Schizosaccharomyces pombe: one gene and its partners. Changing the gene in region 1 together with any one later gene gives a genetic interaction. Each region holds a gene or a part of one and is shown in the gene's direction. Other genes may lie near its edges.

Region 1 (6,360 bases):
GCAAATACAAATAATTGGTATCATGCTTTTTTTAATAATCATATTCAACTGACCAACGCCTCCACGATCACCCGATGACATGCCATCGATTTCGTCCATAATGAGTACAAGTCGGGACTTTGCCATGTCAACGGGGTTAGCTTTTGTGCCAAAGTAGCCGGCAAGTGATTGACTATCTGTCACACCGAACAGCTGCTCATCTAGCAAGCGCTTGCTTCTAGTGTCACTAGCGTTCAGTTCCAAAACATCGTAACCTTCTAATTTTGCTACCAAATGAGCAGCAGTCGTCTTGCCAATACCTGGAGGACCAGAGAGTAATACGGCTTTGTATAGACCCAGACCATCAGGTCCAGGTTTATTAAAGTTGGACTTCCTGTTTTTGTGGTAATCCTGTAGCCACTTTTGAAGTTTTTGAACGACACCCTTATTACCACAAATATCCTTTAAAGAAGTTGGCGCATATTTTGAAGTCCATATCTGTGAAGGTTGTGATTCCTTTTTATTACTATCGTCCATTCTCGCAACAGTTTCAAGGATTTTCTTTTCTTCTTGTTCCTTTTTCTGTTGAGCAGCCTGAGCCGCAGCACCCGTTCCTCCTGAAGCAGGAAGATGAGTTATAAGATAGAAGAGTCCATCCTCGTTAATAGCAGGAATCTTGTGTTGTTTAATTGTTTCCACTTTTCTTGGACCAGCATTCTCACCTAAGAGAATAAAGTCTGTTCTAACAGAAGGTGCACCTGTCACTTTTCCACCATATTGTTTGATCAGGTCTGTAGCCTCTTGTCTAGTTAAAGTCTCTAGAATTCCTGTAATAACAAAGCTAATTCCCGAGAGACAATCGCTATTGCCTTCAGGGACGGGTTTTGAGCCTGGAGTTTGTGTTGTAGCCGCCCGTTCATAGAAAGTACCTGGAGCCATCACACCCATAGAGTCTACGTCAATTAAAGGAACATTTTTGAGGGCTTGGGAAACTTCGTCTGAGAACCTAGGTAAGCCTTTCGACTTGCTAGAACGACTTGTGTGAGTTGTCGCAGTTGTGGTATGAGATTTTGACTTTGAAGTTGTCGATTTTTCTGCTTTAGGTTGAGCAGGTTTACGTGTAGCTCTAGTTTGATGGACAACTGGCTTACTGTCTGAAGTGGTATCCAAGTCATTGGCAAAATTTTCTGTTTTTACAGGATGTACGACATCTTTGGAAGTAGTAGTTTCTTTATTGGAGATAATCCGCGGTTTAGAACGTGACCGAGTAGACTGTTGTTCAAAGTACTCATCAGGTGTAGTTGAAACTCCATCTGAACCGACACTAAACAAAAATTCAAATTAGCGAACAACGCATAATGAGGTAAAAGTAAAATAAACATACAGTTTATCGTCTTCATGAACAATGGATGGCAAAGAATGGGAAATATCTTCCGACTCATTACTAGTTGGAGGGTTAGAAATATAAACTGATAACCCGAATTAAACGAACCGTTTTTGCACTTTGCTTTTGGATGCAGGAACTTTTGAATTCTCTATTGTACCATCTTCATCATCTGATAAAACGATTCTTTTTTTCTTCAAACTCCTTTTTGGTTTTGGGGAAGTAGGCTAGACAAAGACGTTAGAAAATGAATGACTAGCTTATCAAATTTGACTGATTGAAGAAACAAACATACAGTCGGTGAGACTTTTGGCTTTTTTTGAGCGTTCCCTCCTCCAAAGAAGCTTCGAATGTCAGAATTACTCATTTCCGACGATGAATAACAATTACCCAATTCCTGAGAAGCTACTGTCTAACTTCCAAAAAAGCAGTGTATGTATGTATATTGGGCGACAATAGCAAGGAATGTGACAATTTGCCAAAAGCAGAGAGTTAACAAAGCTTCGTTAAAACATTCGTAAATGAGTAAATTAAGGAATAGTAAGGAGAGTGTAAAAAATTGATTGTGGGCGTTCGTTATTTAATCTCGTAAAATGAGTCGTGGAGGAAGAAAAGTGGGCTCTTTTACAGTACTATTTTGATTGTGCATTTGTTACGAGACTAATAAACGTTCGTCAATACGAATGAAGAAATCCAAGTTGTATGGTTATTATTAAGGTAAAGCTGAAGCCAGCGGCTTGAGAAATTATCGAATATAAGAGTTTAGTGGTGTTCGACAATGACAGAATGTGATGTGCAAATGTACATGCCAGTGAATGTAGTTCAATCCGGAACTGACTTTGAGTGCATTGTAAAATTCACGAATCTAAGGAGTTCAGAAGATGTAAATTTACTTTTGTGCTATGCTTCTATCCATGGTGAAATGTACCTTGACTATGTACTGGTGCGCGTTACAGAATTCGATGAGGTTCAGAGGCAGGGGCTCTTAAACAAAAGGACAATGAGCGGATTAGTACATATTCCCAAGGTATCCAGCAGTTATTCTGTTATTAATACTCTGAACGGGATGATTGGAAATTTATTTGGAGTTAAACAAGCAAGTACATTGACAGAGGCCTCAGGTATGTAATGGTGAAAGGGTGCAAAAGGAAATAAAGACTTGGTAAAAAAAATCTCTCAATTGGCTTACATTTGGAGGGAAGATATAGCTCGGAAGAGTGCTTATACGGTGAGGTGGACATAAAGTCAATTGACGAATTACAGAAAGGTTGTCTGGGAAGAGTTTTGTAATTCATTTGAAACATATTTACTCTTTATTCAATTTTTTTTTTTTTTTTTTTTTTTTTTGGAAGATGGTTACTCTTATTTTTACTGCAACCTACTGCTTAAGCATGAATACTAACCGATAAAGAACAAAAGCAGGAAAATGCCATTCCAGTGCTACTGACTCGTCCAGATATATTAGGAGTCGATATCACGCTTTCTCCTGGAGAGGAAAAATGCTTTCGGTTGAAGCGAAGAATTCCCCTTCGAACAGCACCTACATATAAAGGATTGGCCTTTCGATTTCAACACGCACTGGTCATAGGAGTCCAATCAGCTACCAACAATGCTTGTGTAGAGCATGAATTTGAAATTACTATAGTACCCAACGTTCAACAGCAACCTGAACTGCCACTCGGAAAGAATTCGGGAAACAGACAATCCTCGAAGCTGTTTGCAGATTTATCCAAACCGATTATTGAAACAGATGCGGCAGAAATTGAAGAGGTTTCAGCAGAGAAAGCACGTAGGCAATTCGGTAAAAACGGTATACGACTTTCGCAGGATGCGCAGGAGGAAGAGAAGCAAAAAAAGAAATACGAGCAACACATAAAAAAGCTACTTGATGGAGAGTCTAATGAAGAGGGAGGAGGAGAATTCCAAGATCATGGAATGAGGTCAGAGATCAATGAAGAAGTATTAGAGGAAGAGGATGAAGAAAAAATTGCGTTGTTAAAAAAACTCGAATCCAAGCAACCAATGGCCACGAGGTTTGAGATTACAAGCAAACAAAAAGTGTTATGTCGATTGCTTTTGAGCAAAAGCAGATATCGGACAGGAGAGATGATGATGATTGAGCTAGAAGGACTGGACGCGATGGTTCGACAAGTGCATATGCAACTTGAAAGTGTGGAGCGTATTGTGCCAGACATCCGTATACGCAACAGCGTAGGGACGGAGAGGGCGACGCGAAAAGTGTGGTGTAGAATTACACGGGGAGTGTTTGAGTTGGAAAACATGAGCGCTTCGATGGTTGTGCCGGAGGAATGTCCGGAAACATTTGAAACACAGCAATTTGGAGTGGAACACTTTTTGCGGGTGGAATTGTTAAGGGCGGTGAACAAGAAACGTGAGATGCAGGGACCGGCGCATCCCCGATATAGTGAAGAGGTGCAGAGTCCGAGTCGATCGAGATACAGTGAAGAAGTACAGAGGGTGAGTGAAGGTAGATTGAGCGAAGAGGTAAGCAAGGAGGAAGAGAAGAAAGGAGGGAGGGAGAGCGGTCAGCACAAGCGAATGGCATCGCTAACGAATTCGCGAGAGATGCAAATCCAGCATGCACCGACAACGTTTGCGGCAGAGACGATTCAATGTGTTTTGCCGATTCGAATTGAAAAGCGAGTTGTGTGGATGGAAGATGGAATGGAAGGAGGGATGGAGGGGATGCAACCGGTTTAGCCAAACAATTGAGTAATCCGATCGTTGATCAAATCAAGTCTCAAAAAATTTTAACCAGCTCATACTCCAACCTTGCTAACGTCTGCGAGAATGGATGATTTCGCTTTTGCTTTCCATTTTGAAAATTCAATCCATTACCGCACCGTGCTCTCTCTCGTACTCCCCTCATTGTGCAGTAAAGTGGGAAGCCACGAAAAAAGGATATAACGATTGTTTGTGAGAGAGAAAGAACGAAAGAACGATGGATGATTGAAAGTGTCGCTTAGTTTTAAGATAACGACAATTCCCTTGATTTCGCAATTCTCCTTTTGGGTACTTTAGGCTCCCCTGGCTCCCTAACGATGCTTTCTTGTAGCGCTGGCTCTGGTGCGTGTTTTTTTGCGCTGATGCTTGATATCAATCATGTCATTTCATTCTATGCATTTAGGGGTTCGGACACTGAGTGTCACGAATGCAATCTATCATACAATATCAAATTTCCAATCTCTCGGTAACTTTGTATGCATTATTAGCAGACAAGTGACGTTTTATGCAGTAGTAGCAGTTTTTGCAATGGAAGTAGTAAGCCAGCAAGCAAGGAATGGAAAAGGTATGTTGTATGTGTATCCCCCCTTCCTTGTCTGACCTGACTTGGCCTAACCCTGTCTTAACGCAGCCTTGGCTTTCTTCGTTACACAATGCTATTTCTATTTTAAGTGTGTTATACTGGGTTATGCTATTCTCGAAGCCAATCTTGCCAATGTGAGCAAGTGAGCCAATCTCGGAAAAAACCTCCCCGTTCCTTCCTTTACCGCCGTGCAGTGAGAGGTGACGTGAAATTGAGATCATTGGTGATTGGGAAGATCAGATGGTTTTGGTACGACTTTTCTTAAAATTGCCATTTTGTCCATACCGTCAATGCCAAGGAAATTGACTCGATATCCGTTTCGGAACGCCCTGATACTACGTCATTTTTCAGGGTAGGGGTGAAGTCAGTTTTCTCAAGGGGGCACTGCCCCACATGGGCTCTAATGGACATCGGTGTTTTTTTTTTTCATCTTGCGGCACCAGTCGAGTCAGTTTGACCAAATTGGCCTTGAAAGATGACTGACCTCTTATTTGTCGATGACAGCGGCCCTCATTGACGATGACGACACTTTTTTGGAATGAGTGAATAAGGCGCGATAGTGTTTTCTCCTATTTGGTGATATGGAAACGGTGCGTTTTTCTACGCGCATCTTCCGAAGAGGTAAGGTTTGGCTTTCGAGACCTAAAAGTCATTCTCCTATCAATCGCGTCATGTTAGATTGTTGATGGGCCTTGGGCAGTGGGAGGTTCTTGTAGGGAAAAATAGCACGTTGCAAGAAGGACGAAAGAGCACAAGGAGGAGGATCAGAGAAAGAAAGAAAGAAAGAAGAAAAGAACAAATTCTTGCGCACTTCACTAAATAGATGGTAGCGAAACATATAAAAGAGGCTAGACATAAGAGAAACGCTAGACTTGGGAGAAACGCTGGAGGTAGGAGGAACGCTAGATATGGGAAGAGTTGAGTAGGGAGAGAGAGTAAAGAAAGAATGAAAAGGAAGATTAGAAGAAGAAAGAGGGATAGAATAAAAAGGAAATGGTTTTATTCCTGTTGAATGATTGAAATAGTTGTATGAATAGATGCAAATAACTATCATTAAACATATAAATAGATGCAAATACAAATAATACTAATAATTTAAATAATATTAACAATACAAATAATTTAAATAATACAAATAACTATCATTAAACATCTAAATAACTCGCCAACTAAACATCCAATTCCTATTTATAAACATCGAAACAACATACATCCGTATAAGAATGAATCTTGAGGATCCTTTTCATTATAATAGTATAGTTTAGTAAAGTAAAGTATAGTCTAGTATAGTATAGTATAGTATAGTATTTTCTTTTCTTTTAGATTTCCCCTTGACATTATCGACTCTTTTCTTCGTTTATTAGTAAAGCATGTATGTTACATTAAATCAAATTTCATTCGGTTTTTCTTTTTCCTTTATGTGCAGCGCTCAACAAAGGGACAGGGATGCTATGGACTAAAAATCGTGCTGATGGAAGCGGCAGACATTACAACGTCACCTGCAACGATGCCTTATCATATGTGCGTACGTGTGCAAATCGAGAATGGGATCGACGGACAAAAGAGATGCAATTTTCTTCTCGTCGCAGTAGGAGCGAGCATACAGCGATCGGGTGATACTTGGAGAATCAAGTAGGGACGAATGAAAGTGTGTATGAATTTGGGGAGT
Region 2 (3,378 bases), on another chromosome or scaffold:
AATAGTGCTTCAGAATCTTTGGAATATGATATACCACTTGATGGTTTAGATTATTTAGCAACTGTGAGGTACGAACATTTATATATGAATTTTTGTGAAAATCGAAATTTGCAACATGAATGCTTTAATCTAATCATTGTAACAATAATTGGGCTTTTTACTGACAAGTTCAGAGAAGAAGCTCGCAAGCTAGTTCCATTTGTAGCGGCGCGTCGTGAGCCTGAAACAAGAGAAACCATTCCTCTTCGCAAATTGGAAATCGAGGCCGGCAAAAAAAGCTTTGACCCGTTTTTACGATACTTACTAAACATAATTGATAAAGAAGGGGAAAGGCTTGAGCAATATATGGAATCTTCTTCATTGGACGCATCTATTTTACCTAAAAATTTACAACAATGGCGTGTATATATTGAGCATAAAGCTCCTTGTTGGGCCATATTAGCAGTGGTTGATTTGGCAACTGTTTTGGAGATCCTAGAAAGCTTGTCCAGCTGGCTTGAAAAGGACGCAATTGATTTACAGGTTGGTAACAAGGATCTCATGCTACTTTGCTGGTGTATTTTTGTTCATTCTAAAATTTGCTAACATTTTTCTAGAGTCAATGGATTTTTTGCTTTTGTTATAAACTTCCTGAGCTTTTGAATGGAGAAGATATATCGACCCTACGTTCAGTACTCAAGTCTTTACGAAGTACGCATACTTCTTTTCCTGCTCTGCAGATGTCAGCATCTGCCCTTCAAGCAGTCTTAGTTTATCGATATGGACAAAAAGATCTCTTTCAAACATAGAGTCTATAAATCTTGGTCGAAAAAAATTTAGGTACACATGTTCATATAGCATACGTTTGTTTATAGGGAAAAAATTAAAATTGATAGCTTGTTTTAAATATGTTTTTAGGATATTATTACTTTTTTGAATGAAAACATATGCTACACGGATATGCTGGGCTTTGCATCTTTGAACATGTGATTAAGCAAGCTTGGAGATAGCTGCAATAAACAATTTGCCTATTACAAATCGATAGATATATTTTAAAAAAACACGTTTGAATTGAGATAGGCAAAGTTATTTGTTTATTGATTCACATTTTCATTTTACAAAAAATGGCTTACTATTTGTTTAGTACGTGCATTCGTTTTGCTGTCTGCATACTTGTCGAATCGAGGGTTTCAATTATGTTATTACATGATAACTAGCAACTTTCTTTAATTCGCGCCCCATCTTACGAAATTAACTAATAAATTTTTACTGTCTTTTTCGACCGAGTGATTTTTTACCCATATGAGGTTTTTCAAATTCAAAACTAATTGAACATTGCAATTATTCTTTGGGAAAAAACAAAAGTCAAATAAAGATAAAATAAAAAAGAAATAATTACAACCTCACTGCCAAGAACCCCTTCGTGGTTAATTGAATCTTTTGAGTTCGAGCAATCAAGCTCCTTTTGTAAAACTAAATGTCACTAAAATTGCTCACACTTCAGTATAGCAGTCTAAATGGAGAGCTCAATTTTTTCCTTGCTGATAAGCGGACTCTGATCTCGCTACGTGAATACTTTCTTTCCTTCGACTAAACGTCAACTTGTCGAGACTTTGATGAAATAGTGGCAGTTAAAGCCAGAAAGCTACTGAATGTTAATTCATTTCTTCTATAGTTGCCATGTACTAAGAATCACGCCTAAAGCAATTTTCCCTAATAAATTCCGATGCTAAACATCCCTTAAATTACAAAGTTTTGTCAAACGATGGAGCAATCGTCGCTTAAAAAGCGCAATTTCAAAGGCATGCATTTCAACTTGCTTTGACCATGCTCTCCCAAATTTTGAACGAATATTTATTTATTAAAAAATTTACGCTACTTGAGCTATTCAGAACAATCAATAATACATATCTAATACATTTCTCTTGCTTTTCAACTATATAACGAGGCTTTCCTTCTCGTTATTAAACTTATCGCAAACTACGATAGGAAAATAAGATTATTTGAGAATTATTTTTCACTATACGATATAGCACACATTACGCCGTTTGGATATTGAATGTGTTTACGCTTAAAAAAGTTTATCCTTTGCAACTAACATTGTAATTGTGGTAAACGGGTTTGTTTGAAGTGACGGACAATGGGAAGAGTTGCCAGAAAAAGAAAGCATCATAGCAATGGAAATCATGCTTTGTTTAGAACTCGTGTTTATGGGAGGTATGCAAATTTCATGGTCATTCAATCATCGTTTGGTAAATTAACAATTGGACAAATAGAGACTTAGATCAGATTCACAATGACTTAACAGAGTCTGAGAAATTTGATAAATTACCTATAGATCCGGATTTGCCAGGTTTAGGTCAACATTATTGCATTGAATGTGCACGGTACTTTGACTCGTCTCAAGCATTGCTGGTGCATAAGAAGGGAAAGGTTCACAAACGAAGGTTAAAAAATTTGCGTGAAGAGCCGTATACACAAGAAGAAGCAGAAGCTGCGGTGAATATTGGACAGCCAAAACAGAGTGTAGCTTCCAAGCTTGCTGACAATAGTAACGTTGTCATGGCGGACTAAACTAGAGACACATTTACGAATGCTAAGTTAGTCAGCACTTTTGCTTTTGTTCCATATTCGTAGCGCATGCTCTTTATTTAAACAGATTTTTATATGTCTCATTCTCATTTATTCTGCTATATTATCATTAGCAGCGTTTATTGGTAATTTTAGTTGCATCCATGTTTGGATTACAAATTTACAACTAATACCTTACCATTGGTTACTGGATGTTAATCTAGCTTCAAGAGTGAGCATCTCAAACTACCTTCACGTTATTTTGGTTTCTTTGGATACATGGTGTTTTAAATAAATAAAATTTTTTTGATAATTTTTTCATAACGCATTCGCTATCATTTAACAAAATCCTCGTAAAAAAACAAATTCATCAAAGAACGTTTCATTAGACGCATAGATTCATTTCCTATAATGAACTTTCCGTAGCCACTACCATGTTACAAATACCATTAGTTAATTCATAAGTGCCTGGCGTCTGTAAGATGAACCAATAATAGAATAAAAGAAGTGTTACTATTGCATCCTTACCTATTTAACCCTCAAATCAACAACTTGAAGTTTCGAGTTAATTTCTCTAACATGCCCAGGCTGAGCAACCATCGTATAAACTTTTCCCTCATGTGGATGAAAAAGCCCAGGTTTTCGACACTTGACTATAGTTTGTAGTCCCTCAGGATCTAATAAACGGAAGATGCCAGAGCTAAAAGTCGTTAATATATGTAGAAAAAAAAATTTTTTTCTTACGTATTTTTGGAAGGAGCCATAACAATTGCAATAGCTTCAGGTAGCATAAGCTGGTATGAACAATGAGTATGCAAATCCACGCTA
Region 3 (4,605 bases), 2.3 Mb from region 1:
TGTTCGAACTGGACGCTTTCGAAATGATTCACGGACGTGTTCTGAAACCGCTTCTGTATCTTGTGGGAATTCCTTGTAACGTACTTTTAAAAATGCTCCTCCATCTTGCCATCTGAATATGATATCTTCCAACTGCATTGTATCAGAGCTTGGAAAAGCAGCACTTAGCTGCTTTTTCAAGTTGTTCTGAAAGAGCAACGCAGTGTATCGCTGAATGTAGAAATAGGTTGGAGTATTGACGAGATTATCCACGAAGAAAAGACCTTCATTTGGATCTAGCTTGATATGACCAATATTATGTGCCACTAAAGAATGAGCATAGCGACGTGGAAACATAAACGGTCGTGCATGACCCAAAAATGAAGTATTTCGTAACCCCGTGAACCGAGATAGAAACAAATTCATAGTTTCGGGTAGGCTTTAAATTAGTTTCAACGATGTCTAAGAAATACACAACGGTTTGTTGCACTCCAATATGAATATTCAAACACCAAAAACGAACAGCCAAGAAAATGATTATTTAAGTTATACGGTTAACAGTAAGTCAGGATTCCAAATGGGATCTGTCAATGATGTAAAAGGCTAGTGGTTTAAGAACATTGCTTAAAAATGCTAAATAAAATTAGCATTGTAAATTTAGACATCGTTAAATAAATTCAAAACAGTAGAATCAAATGGGTCATTTGAATCATAAAGAGTTGATAGCCTTTTAGCATGCATAGGTTGTGTATCCAGTTATTATCTTCAAGTTCTTTTTTCGTAAACAATTATGGGAATAAATTCGATTGTACATACATTTTTCAATCGGGTAATGCAGCAGCATAGCTTTAGCAATCATGGTTGATTCGATATTATTATTTTTAAAGCCTTAATTTTGAAATCCGTATTCACTTATATCTTCGTAAAATTCAGAGGCGTCAGCATTTGTGATATCAGCATCCAAGTCGACTTCTTCAATATCGTGATCTTCTACTTCTTCATTATCACCATCCATATCGTCCATTTCGCCTTCTTCAGGAAAGCTCCCACTTCCCAATTCTTCTTCATCCAACTCAGTGTCTTGATTAGCCTCTTCGCGCTCTTGCTCTTCCAAATCAAGCTGCTCTTGCATAGACCTATTTAATCCAATGGGCCGAATAGTGCGAAATCCAAACTGTTTAATTGCAAGCTCCTAAGATTCGTTCAAGTTAGACTTTTCTCATGCACAGAAACTCGTTGAAAATCGTAAACAAACATACCTGAGTCTCCAGTCTAACTTCTTCCTTTTCCAATTCTTTCATAGAAGGAAAAGACGTAGGATACCATAGTTGATGGGCTGTATTAGCCATCAACGACATAAACGACATGATTTTATGCTGCAAATAAATATTGGTATTCAAGAATCAGCTGGTGTATTGTAAGACTAAAGGCGTTACTATGGTGACTGGGTTATTTACTAACCCAGTTCTGTACAATAAACAAAAAATGTAAACACAAAGCAATGCTGAGAAGCCACAAAATTAACTTTCGTGTTAATTTTTGGTTCACGTATTAATTAACAAAAGCTGTTGAACTTATTTCTCCTCTTATTTTTGACTGATTTGAAATGTTTATTGCAACGCTTGAACAAGATTATTAACTAAGAGTATCAAAATGCTTATTTTCCTTTAATGAAGAGGTCAAGGGATAAGAAATACTTATGTTCCGTAACGTTTCATGTTCAAGTTTCAGCATTTAAGTAATTGAAACTGGCTACTCTTTTCAATTTCACGTAGGTGTACTTTAAATTGGGTTTTTTAGGATTCAATTATTTGCAAATACAAAATTTCAGAAAAAAGATACCTGTATGTATCTCGATTAATATCCTTACTATCTAATGTTACACATACTCATCAAACTTCTTAACTTACTCCTAACCACTATAATTTAATGAGAGCTTTTGATCCTATTTGAGCTACGATTTTAATGGAGAAAGGAATCAAAAAATATCTTCCAAGTTTACCGTTTTTAGCTTGTATTTCAGACTTTCCCGAAAATCATGGAACATCTCGGCGATCAGCAACTGTTTCGCTAGAGCGAGTTCACGAATTATTCACTGAACATTGGCTTTCTAATCTAAAAAATAGGAGAGAAAAAAGGCAGGAACTAGCTGAAGAAGCAGTTTACTGCCGCTCTGAAATGCTATCGCAGAGGAAATTGCTGGCTGCTGTTGACTTCCCACAGCAACTTAAGAACAGTCCTGCTAAAGCAAAGGCAACCCATACTTCCTCTGGAGTCACAAAGGAGGTAAGAGCTTCAAAAAAATACACATCATCTAATGTTGAGTTTCCACTCGTTACGGATGGAAAGGAGAAGCCAGTGAAGTCGAAACAACTAAGAAAGAACTCCGTTACTGAATTTGAAAAACCTATAGAAACGAAAAAAAGCAAACATCGGAAAAGCAGAAACAAGTTTTTAGATAAAAGCTCAGGAAGCATGGAGATTGAATCGTGGGACAACTCTACTTCTGATTCAATAATAGAGTCATCTTCTAGACTGCATGAAAGCATTTCACTTCGTGAAAATGATATTCGCAGTTCTGACTCTAAGTCTGTTGGCTGGGATGATAATTCTACTGGATTTCGTGAATCTTCTAAGTCTCTTGATCATACCGATACGTCGATGTTTATGGAGCTTGATTCGAATAGCGATCCACAATTTCGTCCGAAGTATCAAGCAAAATCCTCTTGGTTTGCCCCCGATGATCCTGAAGCTTCATGGGGAAACCTGGATGATGGTTGGGGCGAAACTAATGGTTCTTGGAGCTCTACAGATGATACAAAACATTACAAAAACGAATGGGCGGAGAGTATAAATCTTGACAATTTCAATAGGCCTTCACAACAAGAGGATTACGACAAACCGAAAAACACTCAGGTTTCAAGATCATCGAATCATCATCGACGATATGATTCTTACCATCCAGATAGTCGTTCAGATTCATATAGGTCCAAACGAGAACATTACGATAATAGAGATACAGGGCCTCGAAGTAAGCATTTGGAGAAATCTTCGTATGTATACAACCAAAATTTTGAAGATCGCACTCATTTATCAGACCATGGAGCCCATTTTCATTTAGGGAATGCCAATGATTTTAATATGCAAGGTTCGTCGCGTAAAAGAAAAGCCTCTGATCGTCAACGTGAATCCAGAGAAAATGAGCTACCAACTAAAAAGCTTAACGCTTCTGATTCACATAACCCGCTAGCTTCCTTAACTACTGATAAAAATGATCTCTACATTAATTGGTTAAAATCTTTGTCATTTTTTCAAACCAATAGTTCTTGCGCTGAAGCTTTAGTAAAAGTCATTCCCCATTATCATAATAAATTGATCGATTTTTCTCAAGTCTTACAGTTGGTATTTTCCGCTTCCGAAAAGTTTCCAATTCAAGAGAACCAACCTTTGCCTGAGCAGCTTATGTTTTTGAGCAACCTCGAAAAACAAACACCATTTGCGAAAGCGGTAGGATCTTCGATTTATAAATTGGTAACAGGAAAGAACTTGTCTCTAGATTTTGCGAGCCAAATTTTGAAAGAGGCTTCAATTTTAGAGCATAAAAACGAAAAATGAAAGTAGTTTACTGACTCAAGTACACCTGGTACTAAGTTAGCTATGTTCATTTTTCATGATGTATTCTAGTAACTTTGAATATTTTAAGGCTTCAAATTCTTTCAATAATCACGCATACATATGTTTCATCGTTCACTTCTGTTAATGCTTCCATACTTTTGTTCTATTACTAATCCCCATTGTTAATGAAGGCACGATGAGTTTTAAAACATTAATTTTTCTGAATTTACTTCTCCAATTTTAGAATGTCTTTTATATCTCTTATGTTAACTGTTTATGACCTAAATGATTGTTGTACACGTTTTGCTTCACCTTTTAAACTAATATTGAAAATAGTGAAGAAAGTGAAAATTGATACTTTGTTATTCTCAAATAACTGCTTGAGCGCCTTAATTTTTAGCTTTTCATTTAATAATTTGATCTTTTTATTACTTAGTTTAATATATATTTACTTGTCGCTACAAGTTTCATTTAAGACAAACCGATAAACTAAATGAACAAAAATATAAATAGTAAATTTAATTTATTTATATTTCAAGCATGCTGTAAATCTTTTAACATGATTGTAAAAGTAAATAAACTTTTGCAAATAATTAGTGAACTACACAGATGCGTTTAATAAATTAGCGACGCAGAGTGTGTTAACCAAACAACCCTACCCTATTAGTGAAAACAGTCACGGTAATCCACCTGCGAGTAGGAACATCTGAAACCAATTTTGTAACTTGTCAACAACACAATGACCAAGCGTACCAAAAAGGTTGGTGTCACTGGCAAGTACGGTGTACGCTACGGTGCATCTTTGCGTCGTGATGTTCGCAAAATCGAAGTTCAGCAACACTCTCGTTACCAATGTCCTTTCTGCGGCCGTTTGACTGTCAAGCGCACTGCTGCTGGTATGTATTAGTCATTGGGATCTTTAGATTTGTGTGGAATTATTTCTAACGTTTATGTATAGGTATCTGGAAGTGTTCCGGTAAAGGTTGCTCTAAAACTCTAGCTGGTGGTGCT
Region 4 (3,054 bases), 1.8 Mb from region 1:
ATGACGCCGCGGAAGGGCTGCACACCTCAGTAGCGAATATGGGGAAAGAGCAAATTCATGCTTGCCACGATGACTACCTGGATGCTTGATGTAGGTGACGTGTTACTTAAGATGAAAATGTAAATACAAGAGAAGAAATGGGTCAAGAAGGCGATTAATGGATGAAAAGAGAAATTATTCATAGAAAAATTTTTCCTTAAATATGCGCTTTTATTAATCTTTCGTTTAGGTTTTTTTCTCTCGTAAATTAATTCAGATATAGGTATTTAATCAACATTGCCAATTTCAACAAGTTTTAGGGGTTACGTGCAATAGTTTTATTGTTCTATTGTTTTTTAATTCTTCTCTCAATCCTAACTCTTGAAATTTTGTCGTACAAGACATTTTTCGCATTTCGTCAAGTTAAATTTTATGTTAAACTAGAGTTATTTGCGAATTAGGCTAATGAGCAGAAACCACTTGAATATACAAAATTTTATTTATTTATTTATTTATTTATTTTTTTTAAAAAAAGAGTAAATGGTAATTAATCTACTAGAAGCGTAAAAAGAATTGTTCAATACTTCAAAAAGAAAAATATGTATATCATATATCAAACCAGATTAGCAATCAATGCCAATAGCTTTATTCATTGAAAAAATAAAAAAAATAAAGAACGGTTATAGATGAGTCAATTAATTTCGTACTTTAACGTTAGTTGGTTTATTTCGTTTTTGTACAACATTATTTACTTTTTTAAATACTTAGTTCCTGCTTATCATAATGAATATAGCTAGCTTCATTAGTTAAAATTATTAGTATAGTTTTCGAAATTGTAAACGCTACTATAGTTTCTTTTTTCTGTAATTTCCTAAATTGCTTCAAAACAGCATTTGCAATGCAGCACATTCTCAATTAAGAGCAGTTGTAAGCAAAGAGCAATGAGAAATCTTTCAAATTAGATAAAATGAAGTACAGTAAGATCCACATATTCAACAAAGCTATCCTTTCCCTTTAGTGTCTCTGTTGCTATCACTTATATACGAAAGCATGGCATTGGAAGCGTAAAATGAATCATTAATTTTGCAGATGTAGTTTTCTGGGATCAGGAAATAAAAAATTTAAGAAATTTCAAAAGAACTTGAGAAGAAATTGATGAACTAGTTGGTCTGTAGGCAAAAGATCAATGATACCAAATTGTTTCCTTGATAAAAGTCCCATTGCCAAACAAGAGTATAAGTTAAAAGAAAGTAAAGAAATAAGGAAAAATATAAATTGATGATACAACTATACTATCAAACTATTCTTTGCAATTGTCAGTTTTAAAGTTGAAACCTATTTCCTGTAGGATAGACAAACGAGGAAGCAAAAAATACCAATAAAAATGTTTATGATTTTCAACTAGTTATGTATAATTTGAAAATCACTTTAAATTGACTCTCTATTGAAATCACCGCCATGTCAGTTTCAACTCTGATCAAAGATCTCATGAACTAAGGATTGCATTTGACATTTGGAGTTACCAGGTAAAAGAAGAGGAAAATTTTGGTAAAAGGTTGAACCGTTTTGTCTACGATCTGTTGGTCCATTCGATTTCCCAGCATATACCTCTTCTTGTCCAAACCACGAAACGTAACCTTTAATATTCATGTCTCAATCTTTTCTACTATAATTAAACTCACGTATAGGATTGACTATACAACATCAATCTCCAAGCTGTGATAACGAGTATTTTCCATCTGATCCCAACCAACCTTTTAGGAATATTTATCCTTTCCAAAGCAAACCAAATCATTTCTTTTCGAAATTTGATTTTTTTAACAAAAAGTGTTAAGATCGTAAAAATAACAAATGCCTCCATCTACAGTTAATCAAGAAGTCAATTCTATCCTATTCATCAAGAACTTGTCTTTTAAAATTACAGCAGAAGAGATGTACGATCTTTTTGGTAGGTATGGTCCTGTACGACAAATAAGGCTGGGGAATACGGTTCAAACAAGAGGTACTGCATTTGTGGTTTATGAAAACGTTCAAGACGCTCGTCGAGCTTGCGAAAAGCTTTCTGGCTACAACTTCATGGATAGATACTTGGTTGGTACGTTATCTTAGGGAATGTATTAGCTACTATTAATTTTAATTTCTCCTTTCTAACGGCTTTTTAATATCTTCTTGTTAACTTTTTTTTTAGTGCATTATTATAACCCTGAAAGAGCTAAGGTTGATGGTCAAGATTTGGCAGCAAGGTATGCCGCCTTGGAACAAGTTAAGCAAAAATACGGTGTTCAGTGAACGTTTACTATTTATTTACCAAAAAAAAACAAACAAATTAGGAGTCTGATATTGACTCCATTAACGTGTAATAGATTTCCTCTTTCTATAAATTCTGTTGAAGAGAACATACAGCAGAAAAATGAATCGGCTCATATTAAACAATCGTTTACTAGTGTTTCGAACCTAGGTATAAAAAAGGTACTATAAGGACTTGAATTTTATTATATTTCGCTTAAAGCTTTTTAGTAATAATAATGTAATGCATTGATCTATAATATAACAACGTCTACATGTAGTATTAAGATTTGAATCCCTAATAAAACGTATCCAAATTTGCCCAACCGTATTTCCCAATTAATAATTTTATCTGGCACAAACTTCAAATCATAATGAGCTAGTTTCCAAAGTCCAACCCTTCCAGCTTCATTACCAACACATAACTCACCACCCTTACCAAAAGCTAGGCATGTAACTCTGCCTAAAGGCGTAGCGCTGGTGGGCCAATTACGGAACACACTAAAGCTGGGAACATGAACGAGTCGTAGAGTATCCTTCTTTCCTCGAGATGCGATAGCTAAAACTTGACTATCTTGAGAAAAGCTCATACTATTTATGCTGAAAGTAATATTATCCAATGTAGTGACAGGTTTTGGTGCAGCGTCCGCATTGGATGTCTGGAGGTCATATATATTAACAATACCACTCTTGCTACCAATTGCCAAATACTTATTAGATGGGTCCAAACAAAAATGAGTGGTAGATACACCATCTTGAACTTGCCAACGACGAACGACTGAACGTTGC

The links.
Region 2: mutations in rgp1 (region 1) and bud20 together harm fitness more than expected from each alone (negative genetic interaction), as found in Schizosaccharomyces pombe (one large-scale study listed by BioGRID).
Region 3: mutations in rgp1 (region 1) and tas3 together harm fitness more than expected from each alone (negative genetic interaction), as found in Schizosaccharomyces pombe (2 studies listed by BioGRID).
Region 4: mutations in rgp1 (region 1) and sap14 together harm fitness more than expected from each alone (negative genetic interaction), as found in Schizosaccharomyces pombe (one large-scale study listed by BioGRID).

Annotation. Positions count from the first base shown.
Region 1 is NC_003423.3:3,854,213-3,860,572, forward strand, and holds rgp1 (protein sat1), read left to right. Parts: upstream 1-2,006; 5' UTR 2,007-2,141; coding exon 2,142-2,484; exon of another isoform or gene 2,485-2,774; coding exon 2,775-4,084; 3' UTR 4,085-5,804; downstream 5,805-6,360. Other genes in the region: DNA replication factor C complex subunit Rfc1, read right to left, coding at 1-1,303, 1,364-1,423, 1,472-1,590, 1,659-1,730.
Region 2 is NC_003424.3:4,902,918-4,906,295, reverse strand, and holds bud20 (zinc finger ribosome biogenesis protein), read left to right. Parts: upstream 1-2,062; 5' UTR 2,063-2,119; coding exon 2,120-2,196; exon of another isoform or gene 2,197-2,255; coding exon 2,256-2,553; 3' UTR 2,554-2,878; downstream 2,879-3,378. Other genes in the region: yip11 (SMN complex subunit Yip11/Gem2), read left to right, coding at 1-68, 174-522, 597-788; sst2 (AMSH-like ubiquitin-specific protease), read right to left, coding at 3,079-3,250, 3,295-3,378. UniProt on the Schizosaccharomyces pombe protein: Involved in pre-60S ribosomal particles maturation by promoting the nuclear export of the 60S ribosome.
Region 3 is NC_003423.3:1,513,468-1,518,072, reverse strand, and holds tas3 (RITS complex subunit 3), read left to right. Parts: upstream 1-1,893; 5' UTR 1,894-1,944; coding exon 1,945-3,594; 3' UTR 3,595-4,067; downstream 4,068-4,605. Other genes in the region: RNA-binding protein Yme2, read right to left, coding at 1-405; anaphase-promoting complex platform subcomplex scaffold subunit Apc15, read right to left, coding at 869-1,171, 1,239-1,346; rpl4302 (60S ribosomal protein eL43), read left to right, coding at 4,334-4,490, 4,553-4,605. UniProt on the Schizosaccharomyces pombe protein: Has a role in the RNA interference (RNAi) pathway which is important for heterochromatin formation and accurate chromosome segregation.
Region 4 is NC_003423.3:2,049,472-2,052,525, reverse strand, and holds sap14 (Pre-mRNA branch site p14-like protein), read left to right. Parts: upstream 1-1,757; 5' UTR 1,758-1,830; coding exon 1,831-2,074; exon of another isoform or gene 2,075-2,167; coding exon 2,168-2,268; 3' UTR 2,269-2,529; downstream 2,530-3,054.